Mus musculus: one gene and its partners. The protein of the gene in region 1 binds, or shares a complex with, the protein of each later gene. Links are inferred from orthologs where the notes say so. Each region holds a gene or a part of one and is shown in the gene's direction. Other genes may lie near its edges.

Region 1 (4,863 bases):
CCAAACCAAGCAGTTGGTACTGTCAGGAAGACTGCCCCAAACCAAGAGCCCCTGCCTAACTCAAGCCAAGGTCTGGGACTGGATGGCCACTCCAGTAGACGAGAGCTGCCACATCCTCTGCTTCCAGGCACTGGGCCAGGATAACTTAGCTGAAAACATGACCACAACCAAATGAACACTGGTGGCAGCCAGAGGCTAAGAGCCTTTCCTCCTGCGCTCAGTGATCCCCACGGGTGCCCAGAGCACCTGGACTTCAAATTCTATATACAAAGATAGAGGATATATTAGAGGTATTTTTGAAAAGGAATTGGTCTATGCAATGCCAGTTTGGGACCTGTAAGACAGTTTAATGTTTCTATTAGAGAGATATAAAAGATCTGCAATATTTTTAGGGTTCTTTTCTGGTTACCCTACAGCTGACCACGTGGTCTGGCAGGATGAGCAGGCCCATCTTCTTCTGTGGGGAGAATTTGCTTTTGTGTTATTCCTTTCTAACCAGGTTACCACTGCACCCCATTCCGTGGGCTGTTCATATCTGTCTCAGCTTATAATAGAAAATTATGTCATATGGGGAAATCAGCCTAGTGTCAATGTTTGGTTTGGGGGTGGAATTAAATGCCGATGTTTTTGTTACTGCTTTTTGTTGGTGTTTCTTTTCATTCTCATCACCGTGTTGACTTGGGGGCTGCTAACAGGAGTTAGCCATGTATGTGTAAGATGACATGCTGGGGAAAGTAGGTTAGTGTTCTCCAGTCTGACCCCAGTCATAATGCTCACCACAAACACACACATACATATTACATATATGTCCACACATGTTTGTATGAATATGAATGGGCACTTGACAAAGGTCGGAGAACACCTGTTACTCCTGAACCTCTTCTTGTTTGAGACGGTGTCTCACTCTGGTTTTGGGGAAAGAATAAAACGTTTTTATTTGGTATTTATAAGGTTTCCTTTAGCCATGAGGTTTAAGGAGACCTACTACTCCTCATGCCTCCAGAGTGTTGGGACTACAGAAATGCACCACCATGCCCAGCATCAATTCGGGGATCTTAAAGCCCCACTTTTGGTCCTAATCATCGAAGAAACTGGTTAAAAATACCTGTCAGGGCACAAAGAGGGAGCTGTTGCCTCTGGTTGCAGAAATGGATAACCTGCATGGTGTAGCATTTGGAGAAGAATGGATCTACAGCAGCTAGCCCCATATGCCATGAGAGTAGTGTTCTGGGTGAGAAACAGAAGAAAAGCATGAAAGATAATTTGGCCCAGCGCCCCTTGGTTCTAAGAGGGCCATTCTGAAACCTCTGGCAGTGGACAATGAAGGGAAGCCTAGAAAGTTCCCTAGGAAGCCAACCAGTGGAAATTCTCATAGGCCAGGCCAGTGGTGGTCATTCTATACAGACTCTTCCATTAACAGTTTCAAGGCCAGAATGTAGAGCCTTTGAATTCTGATGTCTGCTTCAACAACCAACTCATTATGATCTATCCCTTTCCGGGACTTCCAACTCTGGGGTACATCTCACTCTGGCTTGGGACTGTAGGATAATGTTTAAATGATTATTGTTTGGGAAGGGTCTGACAGGGATGTAGCCACAAAAACCTGAAAGTCTGAGCTCCCGGCCCTACAGTTCCCTGCAGAAACTACATTTCCCGACATGCACTGGAGGGCGGGGAAAAGTGCCCGCACGTCAGCTCAGACGAGTCTCCGCGTGTCACGTGATTTACAAGCCGGAAAGGCCTAAACCAGGAACCGGATGTATTTTGTTGCTCCGGCGGAACGCTGGAGAGATGGTGAGCCTGGGGTGGAGTACATGTGTGATTTGAGGGTACCAGGGGTCGGGGCTCTGAGTAAGAGTCTCCTTGGGAGATGGAGTTGGGCTCTCCAAACCCAGATCGCTCTCTCCACCGCTTGCAGACAGGTGACACGAGGCCTGACGTGGCTTTCTAAACCCGAGAGCCACTTCTAGTAAGCCCTCCGTGGTTCTAAATGAATGAGAGGTTTGGAGTGTAAACCGGCTGCTCCGACCCTCCGTTAGTGCTTGTACACGAGCCATCTCGCCTGCTGAGCCTTTATTTTTCTCCAGGCCACCGGGACAGACCAAGCAGTAGGATTTGGCCTTGTCGCCGTTAGCTTGATCATCTTCACCTACTACACCACTTGGGTGATTCTCTTGGTATGTGTGCCCCACCCCCACCCCGCTCACCTTCATTTTGCTCTGGATCTCTAAGCCAGTTTCCTAACGCGACTTAATCAGCGTCTGTGTGCCAGCGTCTGGATGTTTAGCTAGCTCTAATCTCACGAAATCTACACTATGGTGCTTGCAGATGGTGTCTACATTTTATAGATGAGGAGGCTAAGACTCGGGGAGAAGGCTGTTTCTCAGCCTCTGAACTGCCGCACAGTGAGGCTTTATTTTGTGTTTGTCCTCCTGGTTAGCCAGCAGGTTCCTGGGTGTAGCAGTCGCCGGTGGAGTTTATTAACATCTCAAGTCTCTCTCTCTCTCTCTCTCTCTCTCTCTCTCTCTCTGCCTCTCTCTTTAATGTGGGAAATTTTGTTAGTTATTGTTTTAAAGTACACTGTGCTTGGAAAGGGGCATCTTGCAGTACTTGGTATCCTTCAGAGAGGAAAGTTAGGTGGGCTGACCTTCGGTGATGAAGAGAACTGGCTGATTCTCCAGAGGACTGGGGTTCAAGTTCCAGCACCCACATGGCCAGCTACAACCATCTGTAACTCCAGCTCCAGGAGACCCAGCAAAAGTCCCTGGAACGGAACGCCATTGCTGCTTAAGTTGTGTTAGGAGTTAGATTGGAGATCCAGGGCTTGGATGAAAGTACACCTGGACTCACAGGCACAAATGCATGATCAAAAAATAAAGACCTCTTTAAAAGACCTAGAGTTCTCAGAAGGCAGAAGAAGGGGGGAGGGCAGCTTGGTGAGGTCAGCCAGGGCCTCAGAAATCAAAAAGGATGGTTTCCAGCACTCACAAGGCCCAGGCAGTATTCAACAATACAGAGACAATATGGTGGGTCTCTTGTTATGATACATATCCACGCTTGGGGATGCTATCAAGGTGGGCCCTCAGTATCCAGTGCTGCCAGGGGGAGGTGGGACGGCTTCCCTTTGGGGCTGAGTAAGGTGAGCAGTACTCACCAGAGCTCTTGCCCTTGGTGCCAGCCATTCATTGACAGCCAGCATGTCATCCACAAATACTTCCTGCCCCGCGCCTACGCCGTCCTCCTCCCGTTGGCCGCAGGCCTCCTGCTGCTCCTATTTGTGGGTAAGTCTCCCGATCTGGGGCAGGGTGTCTGGAAGGCAGCGTGCTTCCACATGCTGGCACCTGCTGTACATCTGCTTAGACTCTCCTTGTCACCAATGCTCCCCGGGGCTTTCCTATTCCTTAAAGGCCACGGGCAGAAGCTCCTCTAGTGGTGTTCCCAGTTTTCAGGTTCCTGGGGCAATGAGGACATGGCTCCCCTTTCTTTCCTGTCTCAGCTTCATCTTCATCTCTTCAATGTTCCTGCCTCAAGTCACCCTGGCATCTCTTACGGCTCTGTGGGTTGGGAACTGTGTCTTTGCTGTTACGCTATTCTAAGCTCTAGCCCAGGAGCCTAAAAGAGTGCTTGGGTTGACTGAGGAACCACATGGCCGGATGATGCACAGGTGGTTAGCCTTGCACCATTTTGGTGATAGTTAACTGACCCTCAGTGGCTGTGTGACCTAGTGAATGACTGCAAAGATGCACCCCTAGGGGGGTTGGTTGGGAGCCTGACCTTGCATGCCTGGCCACCTAGCTTCCACTCCAATCCTCCCAGTCCCTCCTATTCTGTGTATTACAGGATTGTTCATCACCTATGTGATGCTGAAGAGCCAGAAGATAACCAAGAAGGCTCAGTGAAGGTCCAGCAGGGATGAGGCTGTAGGGGCCTTCTCCATATCTCCTCCAGAAAAGGGACCAAGGGTCACAGCTTACAAGATGGTCAAGCTGGCTGCACTGCAGCCCTCTTTGGGACATGGGGCTGTTTTCTTCTCAGTTTGACAACCTGGAGCCCTCTCTCTCTTGGTCATCCTTTTAGAAGCCAAGAGAAAGGTGGGTTGGGAAGCCTCTCACTTCCCTTAGGCTCAGAGGCTGAACATTGCTGGTTGGTCCTGTCCATCTCACAGTCAAAGCTCCCTGTCCCTTCCACCGAGTTCTCTCCTCTCACCTCTGTGCTCCTCCCACTGTGCTGATGGATTGAGCAGGCCTTCCCGCCTCTCTGTACAAGTCCTGTCCCGTCACAAGGCAGCTCTTCCGAGTCTGACACTTCCCAGGCTCCATGAGGACTTCTGGACCCAGGAAGCCCTGGGGAAAGACTGACAAACCCCAGAACCACAGGGTTACATCCAGGCAGCCACACTAGACCACAATTGGCCTGTTTGGGAAAACTTACAAATAAATGTTAATTGCGTTGGTGTTTGTCTCTCTGCCATCCTTGCTCTGGGGAAACTGGCTAGAGGAGGCTCAGATGCTACTGAGTTGTGCAATGAGGGCACCTCAGGTTGTACATTTGCGATGTCCCTATGTCAGACACAGGGTAAAACTGGAACTGGGATAGATATGATTCTTACTCGGGAAATGTCACAGCGGAGAATCAGAAGCCTGGCGCATCTGCTAAGGCCTAGTGTAGCCCAGTCTGACATTAAACTACATAGCTGAGGGTGGCCTTGAACTTCTGATCTTTTTGACTCTATATCCCCAAGGTTAAGATACCACATGTCATGAGGGCTTTATGCCTGCTAGGCAAGCACTCTTCCTAAGATATCTCCAGCTCCAGCCCCTCGATTCATATTTAAGAGGCCCCTGGGATGCCTCTCTAGAAGCT
Region 2 (4,009 bases), on another chromosome or scaffold:
AGTCCTTTGCTGTGCTGTCATCATCCTGTCTGTTGTGACCCCCCCCACCCCCCTTCTCCCTCATCCTCTATCTCCTGTCTTTGGCTCTTATTCCCTGCCCTTTGAACTTTGGGGCAAAACCCCTCTACGCTAAGAACTTGGTCTTGGGTATCTTGCGCCAATACTGGCCTTTTCACAGGCGTGTGTAGTGAGTGCCTTTACCTCTTGAACTATCTTGCTGGCTATTTTTTGTTCCGATTTTAAATTTTTAAATTAAAAAATGTTTGTTACTTGCTCTGTGTAAACCATAGGATGGTTTGTCCTCAGCTCTCTCCTGCCACCTTGTGGTTGCAACAGAAGCTGCACGGACTCTATACCACTACTTACCTCTGAGAAGAAAAACTTTCTGATCTTTTAGCTTGCGGGAAGATTAAGGGATGGAGCTTCCTGTGCAGTACTGTGCAGAATCCTAGCTCAGCCTCATTTTTCTTTACGCTGGGATCAGAGATAACACTGCCTCACTAGGCAAGGCAGTGGCCGGCCCCGTGGACAGCATTTACGAACACCGTCCCTCCCCCCAACCCCAAGGCACACACACTCATCGTCTTACTATGTAGTCCGGATGACCTGGAACTTGCTATGTAGACCAGGCTGGTCTCGAACTCACAGAAATCCGCTAGCTTTTGCCTAAGGAGTGCTAGGATTAGGAGTGTGCTTGGCTACATTTTCTCTTAAAACTTCATTTTGCACTTTTTGCGGGAGTACACTCAGGTGTGCCACAATACATGTGTGGAGGTCAGAGGAAAATAGTTCTCCACCATGTGGGTACCGGAAGGTCGATCTCAGGTAGTCTGACCTGGCAGGAAACGCCTATACTCGCTGAGCCATCTCATCAGCACAAACTATTATTTTGCCATTTACCGATTCATACGTAAAATAATGTATCAGTCATCTTTCCGCTGCTTAAGAGGATAGATGATAGTGGCTGAGGCCAGGTGCGATTCAGGATTCAAGTTTATCAATTAGAAGTGGGGAAGGCAGCCGGGCATGGTGGTGCACGCCTTTAACCCCAGCAGAGGCAGAGGCAAGTGGATTTCTGAGTTCGAGGCCAGCCTGTTCTACAGAGTGAGTTCCAGGACAGCCAGGGCTGTCTCGAAAAACCAAAAAAAAAAAGTGGGGAAGGCTTTTCAGTGCAGAAAGACCCCACTGTCTGCTCTGGAGCGCCATGAATAAACTGTGGCAAATACGTTCCTCTCCTACTTCCAGCAGGACTAGCATAGGGGACGCCCAGCCAGAGACGATGGGATCCTTAGCTATCCGGTGCTCTCAGAGTCTTTCTGGCCTCACCCGTCAATCAAGACCACGGGGGCGGAGCCTGAGCCTGGGAGCGAAGGCAAGGTGAACTGTCCAATGAGCACGCGCGGACCGGCTCCATCGCGGGATCTGGGTTCCTCACCCCGCCCCTGCAGGGATTTGATTGGGCGGCTGGCCGGGCTGTCCCGCCTTCGTGGGGCGGTGACTGTCACCGCCAGGCGCCGAAGGGACCGGACTCCTACAGGCCTGCAAACGGTGAGTTGAGGGTCTCGAAATACGAGCGGAGGAGCTGTTGAAACCGGCTGGGGCGGGACTCGCGCCAGCTTGGCGTCTGCGCCATGGACGCCGCCGACTCCGTTTGTCTGGCTGGTTCGTTTTCGGTTCGGCCGGGTTCCCCCTGTCCTGTCTTGCCCCGCTCGGCTCGGCTCGGTTTTCTTCGGCTCGGCTCGGCTCGGCTCGGCTCTGTCCCTCCGTCGGTCAGAGACTGCAGCGGGCTCGTTGCCCCTTCTGGTCCCCGAGGCGACTGCGCCCAAGGGATGGCGCTGTCTTCGGTCTGTGCATTGACCGCGGGTGGCTCGTGACCTGGCCCCAGGTTCTGGTGCTGGTTCCCAGCCAGTCCTCGTATAGAAAGCCTCACTCAGATGTCTGAAGCGAACCCGGATTTGTAGGTCGCATTCCGCTTCCCCAGTTCACAAAAACATTATCAGTCCACCTGTCCTTCATTCTGTTTTTCAAATTGCTTACTTCCCAAAGTAATTCATGACACTTGTAGTGTTTTAAGCATGGTCTGGCAGCCGTTCTTTTGTCACTGCCTCCTCAATACTGATACCTCTGATGGGGGTCACTATAGGCAGTTTTGGAGGACACTCCTTTTTTTAAAGGCTTCTTTCTAGCCGGATGTGGTGGCTTGGGGAGGCTGATGCAGGAGGATCACAACGTTCGAGGCCAGCCTGCCGGTTCCAGCAATCCTGTCTCTAACCTACTCAGTGCTGGTACTGGCTGCTTCCCCATCCTTTCCTCTCCCTTCCCGTCGCCTGCCCTTCATCTTGTCATCTTGCATTTTTCTCATACAGTTAAAAGACCTCTCGCCTGCGCTGCGAGGGACACAGGTGGTGTCTGCAGTCGCTGGTAACCGCTGCGTGTGACGCGGAGGCTGAGGAGCCGGCACCTTCGGCCTGGGACCCCTGGACTTTCTGCGTGCCCTTGGGAAGCATGCCTGGGTGAATGAGGAGTCGGGACAAGGGGAAGATAAGACAAGAGCGCACCCGCACGAGAACAGAACTTTTCAAACAACTGAGTTTTCTTGAGACAGTTAACCTTTTAAGAAGGGAGGAAGATGATCCGGTCCCTGCCCACCATGACCGTCCTCATCCCACTGGTCTCGCTGGCAGGCCTGCTCTACTCCGCCTCCGTGGAGGAAGGCTTCCCAGAGGGCTGCACCAGCGCCAGCAGCCTGTGCTTCTACAGCTTGCTCTTGCCGGTCACCGTGCCTGTGTACGTGTTCTTCCATCTGTGGACATGGATGGGCCTGAAGCTCTTCAGACATAACTAGGGGAGCCGAGGCCCCTCCTGCTCGGGCTGCCTGCGGAGTGGGGCATGGCCGGAGGTTCCTGGCTGTTGCAGATTCTTTTGTAGCTGAAAAATACTTTTCAATAAAATGTCTTATGGGAGAGGAACACGACCAGCCTTCATCCAAAGACTGTTTCTTCTAAGATTTGTTCTTAATTGTGTGTCTGTGTGTGGGTATGCGCATGTGAGTGTGGGTGCCCAAGGAGGCCATGCAAGTGATGGGTCCCTGGAGTTGGGGGTACAGGCAGTTGTAGGCTACCGGAGCTGTGTTCAGATCATCCATAAAGGATGCGAGTTCATGTTCTTAGCCCCTGAGCCATCTCTCTGCCCGCCTATTGCCTTCTCATTTAGTTCTGGGGAACCTCAAGCTGTGAGAGGCAGACCTTGTCCTCCTTACCTTCCTGTCTCTACCTCCTGAGTGCTAAACTTATAGGCAAGAGCTCCACATCCATTCATGTGGTGCTGGAGGAACCCAGGGTTTCAGGAACGCCAAGCCAGCACTCTGCCAACCAAGCACCCAGGCCCTAAGGACTGTCTTTTTTTTAGCCCATTCATTTAAAAGTTAGTTGTTTGGAAGCCAGGCAGTGGTGACACACACACTTGGGAGGCAGAGGTGGATCTCTTGAGGGTCCAGGCCAGCATAGTGAGACTGTCAAAAATAATTTGGGATTTTGTTTCCGCTTCAAGGTCAATGGTGAAGTGTTAGGTTTGACTCCTCCCAGAGGAGCTGAGTGGAGTAGTGCCATATATAAAAACCAATATCTGGAAGCTGGACATACCAAGCCTGGGTCTGCGGCTGGGCAGATGGCTCAGCAGTTCCTTGGACCAGCTGCTCTTAGTCCCCAGGTTGGTGACTCACGACTGCCTGTAACTCCAGTTCCAGAGGATCAGACCTCATTCTGGGCACCTGCAGACCTGTGGCATGTTTATTCATGCACACACACATTAATAAAAAAATTGTTTTACAGAGGAAAGAAATCTGACTTTATAAAGTTACTTTTGTATTTTTCTTTTAGGTTTATTTATTTTATTTAGATGAGTACACTGTAGCTGTCTTCAGACACACCAGAAGAGGGAGTCAGATCTCATTACAGATGATTATGAGCCACCATGTGGTTGCTGGGAATTGAACTCTGGACCTCTGGAA
Region 3 (3,309 bases), on another chromosome or scaffold:
GTTTCTCTTTTATTTTACATGGATGGGTGTTTTGCCTGCATGTATGTCTGAGTATGTGTCTGGTGCCTCGGGAAGTCATAAAGTGTTGTCAGACGCTCTGAAACTGGAGTTACAGATGGTTAAGGACATCATGTGGGTGCTGGGAATGGAGCTCAGAGGATCCTCTAGAAGAGCTGCCAGAGCTCTTAACTGCTGAGCCATTTCTCCAGCCCCTCTGGATTCCCTTTTGACATACCAAAGTAAACTAAATTTCCAATCCAGCTACAAAGCTTTGAACAATGGGTCTTTGAACATTTGTTAATTTTTATTTTATGTGCACTGGTGTTTAGCCTGCACGTGAGTCTGTGTGAGGTCTTGGAGTTACAGTCTACTTCTGTCCCCGCTTTGTGATTTCCAAGTGGACCCTCAATCCACTCAGACTAGATTTTTTTCCCTTTAAATCAGGGCCTTCCTTATGTAGTTCATGTTGGCCTTGAACTTGGAGCAGCCCTGCCTCCTGAGCCTTGGGATCATGTGGATGTCCTCAGGACTTTTTCACTCCTCATTTACTCGTTTTTCCAACAACAGAATTGCTTTAAGGAAGGTTTGGTAACACACACATTTAATTCTAGCACTGGGAAAGCAGAGGCAGGAGTAACAAGGGTTCAGGGCCATCCTCAGCTACATCCCATGCTCTAGGCCAGCCTGGAATACATTACATTAGACTCTGTCTCAAAACAAAACGAATACCAACCAGGCTGGAAACAGCTCAGCTGTTAAGTGTGCTTGCTGCTCTTCCAGAGGACCTGAGTTTGGTTCCTAGCTCCAGTGTCAGACAGCTCACAACTACCTGTAACTCCAGCTTTTCTGGCTTCTGCAGGCACCTAAATGTATCCAGTATACGCTCAGATAGACACACATATGCACACATAAATAAAGATTTAAAACCCAAACAAACCAAAAATCAAGCCAAAGAAAACCCCCTTGTTTTATTTAAACTGTTATTGCTACCTAAAGGCAACCAACCCCTTTTTATTAAAAAAAAATTTTTTTTTTATTTTATGCACATTGATGTTTCACCTGCGTGTATGTCTGTGTGAGGGTGTCAGATTCTCTGGAACTGGAGTTACAGGCAGCTGTGAGCTGTCATGTGGGTGCTGAGAATTGAACTAGGATCTTCTGATAGAGCAGCCAGTGCTCTTAACTGCTGAGCCACCTCTCCATCCCCTAGCAACCAACCCTTTATCATATCCTGTAATGGTCATGGTCTTCTTTCTTCTTCTGTTGAATTGCCCTGGAATCACAGGTATATGGGCCTGTGATTTGCAGTTCAATTTGACATGACCAGCCTATTTCTTCAAGACAGGATCTCAGACTGGAGTTCAAGTTTATTCCGGGTACTCTGTAAAATCCTGTTTCAAAATATAAAAGGGCTCAGTGGTTGAGAACTTGCCTAGCAGGTGTGAGGCGGCCTGTTCATGTTTGCTGATTGATGGGTGTGTTGGAAGAATGCTTGAATAATTGAATGAGTGGGCTTTCTGCACTGGAGAATCTAGTTTAAGGGGGGCGATGTAACATTCCCATCTTAACGCAGCGTTTCGGGGTATCCTCCGATTGTCCACAAGTTCCAGCCGGTATCGATGTGGGTCTCCAGAACAAAACGGCAAAAACTCTTCTGAACTCAGATTTTCGAAGAGCAGTGTATAACCAACCTGGATCTGAGCGCGGCCGAAATTGTCCTAAGAACTACAGTTCCCAGAAGGCAGCCCGGAAAAAGGGCGGTAGTAGAAAGGGACTTCCGGATGCTGATGCGGGCCTTGTCAGCGCGGCACACGGAGGTACGCTTAGGTGGCGGGCAGAGTGGAAAGACGGAAATGGGTGGCGGAGACTGGGAATAAATGTCAGATGCAGAGCGGGGATCGGTAGAAAGAACCCTTAGCTTTGATTTTTCTCCCTGCAGCCAACATGACGAAGTTAACACAGTGGCTTTGGGGACTGGCTCTCCTGGGCTCTGCCTGGGCTGCCCTGACCATGGGAGCACTGGGCTTGGAGTTGCCTTTCCCCTGCCGAGAGGTCCTGTGGCCACTGCCTGCCTACCTGTTGGTCTCCGCTGGCTGCTATGCCCTGGGCACGGTGGGCTATCGCGTAGCTACATTTCACGACTGCGAGGACGCTGCCCGAGAGCTGCAGAGCCAGATCGTGGAGGCCCGAGCTGATTTAGCACGCAGGGGGCTGCGCTTCTGACACCTAAACCCATTCCAGTCTGGACATCTTTCCTCATTCCGCATTAAAATGCAGTTTTATTTTCTAATCTTGTGTAGTTTTGAGTATGGAGGATAGCGGTGGGGTGGGGGGTGGGATGGGGATTCTATATACTAGAGGTCAAGAGGTGAGGGGGCAGGAGAACCACCTTACCAGGCCTTACTTAGCTTTGCATTTTGATGGTGTTCTGTTCCCTTCTCAAGATTTTTTTTCTGTTTGAAATAGGATGCCATGTACCCTAGACTGGCCTTGACCCCAGCCATATGGCTGTGGATTATCTCGATTCTAACGTCTCTAATTACAGGCTAAACCCACCATGACTAGACTAGTTTATGTCATGCTGGGCTTCAAACTTGGAAGTCCACAACTGAACTATATCCCCAAAACAGGTTTGTTTACTTGTGTATATGGTTTTAATATATATGGTTTTAATAAGTAGTTCAACCTGGCTTACAACCAACCCTGTCGTGCTACCCAGGCTGCCCTCAACCTGTGGTCCTCCCGCTTCAGCTTCAACCTTGGAAGTGCTGCGAGGCTTCCCATACAAGGCTGCGCAGGAAGCATGGGTCCCTAACTTCCTTCCATTCTTCACAGCTTTCAAGTTGGTTGTTTTTTTGTTTTGTTTGTTTGTTTTTTGAGACAGAGTTTCTCCATGCAGTCCTGACTGTCCTGGAACTCACTCTGTAGACCAGGCTGGCCTCGAACTCAGAAATCCGCCTACCTCTGCCTCCCAAGTGTTGGGATTAAAGGCGTGTGTCACCACTGCCAGGTTTCTTTTCTTTTTAAAAGGACTTCCTGGATCTTTCTAACTTCTAGTTGTTTTTTGTTTTTTAAAGATTTATTGCCGGGTATACAGGGTGAGTTCCAGGACAGCTAGGGCCACACGGAGAAACCCTGTCTTGAAAAACAAAAAAACAACAAAAAATATTTATGTTATGTGTGTGAGTACACTGTAGCTATCTTCAGACACACCAGAAGAGGGCATTAGATCCCATTACAGATGGTTGTGAGCCACCATGTGGTTGCTGGGAATTGAACTCAGGACCTTGGGAAGAGCAGTCAGTGCTC
Region 4 (5,046 bases), on another chromosome or scaffold:
AGTTTTCAAAATCAGAAATGTGTTATCTATTGGCTTTGTGAGGGCATGAGCGACCCATGAAACTGGAGGAGGCCCCACGTGAAATACAGCTATTGCTACTCTATAAAGATGGCGTGTTATAGTTCTAGGTTATTGATAATTAGAATTCGAAGACTAGAAATTGAAGCGGGGTGGGGGGAAACTATGGAAGTGTTTTGAGTTACAGTGTCTGTGGTTGAATAGTACACGCAGAAATGAAGGTTATGGCGGCTCTCATTTCTTCTAGCCAGGCCTTTACATAGCATAACCTTTGTCTGAGAAACCCAGGGCGTTTCTTTCTTTTTTCTTTTTCTTTTTCTTTTTTTTGCATTCGACTTGGTTTCTCAACAGGGCACATGCACCTCTCCACCTTAAGAGTACAACCACTGAGCTCTGCCTCGAAGGCTCTGTCCTCAGAAGCTGGGAAGTTACCTTCTGGGGATGCTCAGGATCAATGGTTTGTTTACCAGGCTGGCCTCACTCAGCCAAGGAATCTTGTCAAACTTTGGAACAAAAGCCTACAGAGAGAGAAATGGAAAGAGATCAGGTTGCAGAGTTTATCACACTTCCGAAGACTAAATCTTAAAGGGAGTCACAGGGCCAGAGAGATGCCTTGGTGGCTAACAGCACTCCTTCCTCTTGGAGAAAAGCCAGGTTTAGTTGACAGCACCCACAAGCCAGCTCATGACTGCCTGTAACTATAGCGGCAGGGGACCTAGCACCTTCTTCTGACCTCCACAGACACCTGGAGTCAGGAGCACATATGTAGACATAATTAAAAACAAAATATTAAAAAAAAGTTAAAATACTTGACCAGTGCTGGTATTACAATAAGCAAAGTAAGCTAACAGCAACCACACAGCAATCAATACATTGCAAACTATTTTAACACGAGAGTCCTCCAACCATTCCATAAGGTGGCCAAGAACAAATAAGCGCCTTCTTTCTTTTACAGACAAAGAATTCAAAGCCCAGATAGTGTGAATATGAATAAATGGGTTCATGCTTTCTGCCTCTGTGTCCACACTATTTAACAGTCTCTATATTTTAAATTCTTCGAGCTTCCATCTATTTATAAATCCTGTGACACTTCCAAGACCCCAGTTGAAAATCAGCAATCTCTCGTCCCAAAGGCTCTCCACCCTCATCTCTTTTAGGTGGCAAAGTCTAGGAAAGGATCCAGCTTTGGAGCCATCCACATTTGGATATTTCTGATCTACTTGCAATTACTAACCAGCTGCCTGACTTTGGTCAAAAACAAACTAATGATCGCATCGTCTCTGTGCAAGTCAACGCACAGGATGCTATGTGAGATCTGGGATCTCCCCGACTCCCCCCCCCTTTTTTTTTTTTTTTTTTTTTTTTTTTTTTTTTTTTGGTGAATACCAGAAGCCTGGTTTGGCACCTATAGGAGGAGGGTTTGGATGCATGGAAAGTCCCTTGGCTGAGAGCCTGTCAACACATGTCATGGTAACCTTGCAGTTACCAGTCTTCCACCAGCCCCGCGACTCTTCCTGCCTTCTCCTGCCTTCCACACCCTGTGAAGTAATTCCCACTGAGGGATTTGCTTCCCAGGCTTAGCATTCCACTAGGAGCAGATTGCCAGGAGAGGAGCAATCAGTAGAGGGCAGCAGTGACCTCGCGGTGTGGAGTCTCGGGGCGGGACGCTTTGGCCGCCGAGTGCTGCGGATCCGGAAGTGCTCCTCCACAGTAGTCCCCTTCCAAGCCGGCGTCCCGGATGTAGAAGTAGCTAGGCGGCCGCTCTTCTCGGTCGTGCACCCCCCTAAAGAGCTTGGTGCAGGTGGGTTCCGGCGTCCTTCGCTGTGAGCGCTTCCGGCTGATCCAAGGCTGGGGCGGGGGTCGGCAGCGGCGGGCGGGGCAGGCCGGTTGGGTGAGTGGTAGCCCAAGACCCTTCGCCGCCCGGTGACGGGGACCTTTCAAATCCCGAGGTCCCAGTGCGTGAGGGCCGACTCCAGGGTGTACGGCTTTTAAAGCAAAGGTCTATCCTAGCCTCCACGAAAAATACAGACGGTCCGGCAGGAAGTTCTTTCTCGAATTTGCTGAATGACCTCTGTGTTTACGACTGGGATGATTGTTTTCTTGATCCTGCGCTAGAGTTTTGCTGTTTCAGTTAATTAGGATGATATAGCACTTTAAAGGATAGTAAGTTCAGCTAATGAACAAAAAAGATTTGAGTTCTTGGTTTGGGCTAAAACTATAGAGAGATCATGCCCTTTTGTACGGTGCAGGTTATTGTCATTCGACCGATAACTTATTCAGATACCTTTGGGGACCTAGTAACGGCTATGGATGGATTCTGTCCCTATAAATTTGCGTAAGTTGCAAATATAATCATGCAAAAATAGTATAAACCTTAGAGTGTATGAATGCCCAAGTTAAGACTGGCTTAGAGAAGGACGACCAGAAGCAGAGACTTTGACACTAGACTTTTGTAGGAGGTCTGGCTCCACGCTGTTAGCCTGGGACCTAAATACTCTACTGTTTTGAAACTCAGATGTCTTATTAGGTAAACTCATAACTGGTATTAACTTGTAAGGCTGTGACAGTTAAAGAAGGTGCATAAGACATTTAACATTCTGAGTTAGATGCAGATATCAATTATTAAGACTACACTTTAAAATGTGAAGGCTTAATGCCGCATTATGTCACCAGACACAATTTATCTAGGCTTTCAGTAAGCCAAGTTGTTTTTTATTGTATCTGATGCCAGCTTCCATATATTTACAGTTCTCTCTTCTAGGAATTTAGCTGTGTTGTCCTGACCCTCAGGACAAACTCATCTAATGCAGGCTCAGCTTGTACTGAAGGCTTTGTAAACAAGGAAAGTTCTGTAGGGTATCAGCATGGCATTTCCAGAGAGTTCTTAATCTACAGATTTATCAAGAACCAGAACCCCATGGACGTCCCTGAGGGAGATTGAGCCAACCTGGATTTGAGGAAAGAATGAGATAATGTGTGCTCAACGTGTAACAGACACCCCAGAAGTCAAGTGGCAGAAGGTTTTATATGAGCGGCAGCCGTTCCCTGATAACTATGTTGACCAGAGGTTCCTGGAAGAACTCCGGAAAAACATCTATGCCCGGAAGTACCAGTACTGGGCTGTGGTATTTGAGTCCAGTGTGGTGATACAGCAGCTGTGCAGTGTCTGTGTTTTTGTAGTGATCTGGTGGTACATGGATGAGGGTCTTCTGGCTCCCCAGTGGCTTTTTGGGACCGGACTGGCATCTTCCTTGGTTGGGTATGTTTTATTCGATCTTATCGATGGAGGTGATGGACGGAAGAAGAGTGGGCGGACCCGGTGGGCCGACCTGAAGAGTACTCTGGTCTTTATCACTTTCACTTACGGTTTTTCACCTGTGCTAAAGACCCTGACGGAGTCTGTCAGTACAGACACTATCTACGCCATGGCAGTCTTTATGCTGTTAGGCCATCTCATCTTCTTTGATTACGGTGCCAATGCTGCTATTGTATCCAGCACCCTGTCCTTGAACATGGCCATCTTTGCTTCTGTTTGCCTGGCCTCACGCCTCCCCCGGTCACTCCACGCCTTCATTATGGTGACGTTTGCTATCCAGATCTTTGCACTGTGGCCCATGTTACAGAAGAAACTGAAGGCGTACACCCCGCGAAGCTATGTAGGGGTCACTTTGCTTTTTGCCTTTTCTGCCTTTGGAGGTCTTCTGTCCATTAGTGCTGTGGGAGCCATACTCTTTGCTCTCCTGCTGTTTTCCATCTCCTGTCTCTGCCCTTACTACCTCATTCATCTGCAGCTTTTTAAGGAAAATATTCACGGGCCTTGGGATGAAGCTGAAATCAAGGAAGACTTGTCTAGGTTCCTTAGCTAATCTAGGGACCTTCATTTCATTATTAAGACCAGCGGAAAGACTTCGAGCCTAACCGGTGCAACATTTAAAGGCAGGGGTCCACTCTTGAAGCAGCCGACTGATCTAGATGGTAGAGCTGAGATCAGAAGAAAGCATTTAACCAAGGGCTTAGGGGAGGGTGCTTGTCCTTCAGTTATTTTGTGACTGAAAAAGCTTTCTGGTGCTGTTATGAATTATTGTCCTTTATTCCCTGTAACAAATGATGTAATGTGGGTTCTGCTTATTAAAAAAGTAATATCCATTGCATTGTCTAGTATTTTAAAAAAAACAAAACAAGGAAACCCTTATTTATGTGTGTATAAGAGAGGGGGTTTGTCTATTTCCAGTATGTATGTCCCACGCATCAAATTCAGGCCCTGGCAACAGGCCTTTACCAGCTGAGCCATCACACTGGCCCTGTCTCATTTTTATGAGAGCATAAGACAAAAGTAGTATGAAGGTGTGTGTGTGTGTGTAAAAGTGTAATCAGTTGTTTAGCCTTTTCTGTGTATACTAAGGGACACCTTTATATATCTAGAGCCCAAATTTGAGAATCCCTGATGGTGGCATCCAGTTTGTTGTCCAATACCACAGAAGTGGTCACTCAAGGAGAGCTACATGCCATAGAAACAAAACGTTAGCGATATGAAAGAGGCTGGAGGGTGAGTTCATCTCAGGCAGTTAGGAAACCAGAGGTGACATTTAATTTACTCGTGGAGGATAGCAGGTGAAAGCCTTTGAGAAACAGATAGGTAATACTAGTGAGAATGGAAAACTATGGACCAAGCAAGTGTGCCCAGTGAGGGCAGCTGTTACCGCTCCAAAAGTGTTGTTTCTACTCAGTTTGGGAGTCATACCTGTGGCTCAGAGAAAGTAAATATTGCAGTAACTGTGATTCTGATTCGTAATATGAATATACTTTGTGAACTGTCTCAAATTTAATTCAGATTACAAAAACATTTGCAGGCAAGATGTGACTACATATGATAGTCAAAGCACAATGATGGGAACGTGATGGGATTTAGTCACAGAGATCTGGGGGAGGAACGAAAGAGTGGGAGCTTGAGTCACTGAGTTCGGCTCTGTTGATCAAGTAATTGGACCCTGCTGCTGGTGATGAGCAATCCATCTTGTCTAAAGATGG

Evidence for each region. The genes of interacting proteins can lie anywhere in the genome.
Region 2: Dpm2 (region 1) and Pigyl share a complex: the UniProt entries of both Homo sapiens proteins name them as parts of the glycosylphosphatidylinositol-N-acetylglucosaminyltransferase (GPI-GnT) complex. The link is inferred for Mus musculus from reciprocal best matches to the Homo sapiens genes DPM2 and PIGY.
Region 3: Dpm2 (region 1) and Dpm3 share a complex: the UniProt entries of both Homo sapiens proteins name them as parts of the dolichol-phosphate mannose (DPM) synthase complex. The link is inferred for Mus musculus from reciprocal best matches to the Homo sapiens genes DPM2 and DPM3.
Region 4: Dpm2 (region 1) and Pigc share a complex: the UniProt entries of both Homo sapiens proteins name them as parts of the glycosylphosphatidylinositol-N-acetylglucosaminyltransferase (GPI-GnT) complex. The link is inferred for Mus musculus from reciprocal best matches to the Homo sapiens genes DPM2 and PIGC.

What each region holds. Positions count from the first base shown.
Region 1 is NC_000068.7:32,569,119-32,573,981, forward strand, and holds Dpm2 (dolichol phosphate-mannose biosynthesis regulatory protein), read left to right. Parts: upstream 1-1,739; 5' UTR 1,740-1,791; coding exon 1,792-1,794; intron 1,795-2,087; coding exon 2,088-2,177; intron 2,178-3,178; coding exon 3,179-3,281; intron 3,282-3,840; coding exon 3,841-3,899; 3' UTR 3,900-4,453; downstream 4,454-4,863. UniProt on the Homo sapiens protein: Regulates the biosynthesis of dolichol phosphate-mannose. Regulatory subunit of the dolichol-phosphate mannose (DPM) synthase complex; essential for the ER localization and stable expression of DPM1.
Region 2 is NC_000075.6:22,155,366-22,159,374, forward strand, and holds Pigyl (phosphatidylinositol N-acetylglucosaminyltransferase subunit Y precursor), read left to right. Parts: upstream 1-1,480; 5' UTR 1,481-1,548; intron 1,549-2,366; 5' UTR 2,367-2,629; coding exon 2,630-2,845; 3' UTR 2,846-2,990; downstream 2,991-4,009. UniProt on the Homo sapiens protein: Part of the glycosylphosphatidylinositol-N-acetylglucosaminyltransferase (GPI-GnT) complex that catalyzes the transfer of N-acetylglucosamine from UDP-N-acetylglucosamine to phosphatidylinositol and participates in the first step of GPI biosynthesis.
Region 3 is NC_000069.6:89,264,790-89,268,098, forward strand, and holds Dpm3 (dolichol-phosphate mannosyltransferase subunit 3 precursor), read left to right. Parts: upstream 1-1,671; 5' UTR 1,672-1,817; intron 1,818-1,939; 5' UTR 1,940-1,944; coding exon 1,945-2,223; 3' UTR 2,224-2,290; downstream 2,291-3,309. UniProt on the Homo sapiens protein: Stabilizer subunit of the dolichol-phosphate mannose (DPM) synthase complex; tethers catalytic subunit DPM1 to the endoplasmic reticulum.
Region 4 is NC_000067.6:161,967,461-161,972,506, forward strand, and holds the start of Pigc (phosphatidylinositol N-acetylglucosaminyltransferase subunit C), read left to right. Parts: upstream 1-1,727; 5' UTR 1,728-1,819; exon of another isoform or gene 1,820-1,909; intron 1,910-2,766; exon of another isoform or gene 2,767-2,779; 5' UTR 2,780-2,990; coding exon 2,991-3,884; 3' UTR 3,885-5,046. Other genes in the region: 4930558K02Rik (uncharacterized protein C1orf105 homolog), read right to left, coding at 451-536. UniProt on the Homo sapiens protein: Part of the glycosylphosphatidylinositol-N-acetylglucosaminyltransferase (GPI-GnT) complex that catalyzes the transfer of N-acetylglucosamine from UDP-N-acetylglucosamine to phosphatidylinositol and participates in the first step of GPI biosynthesis.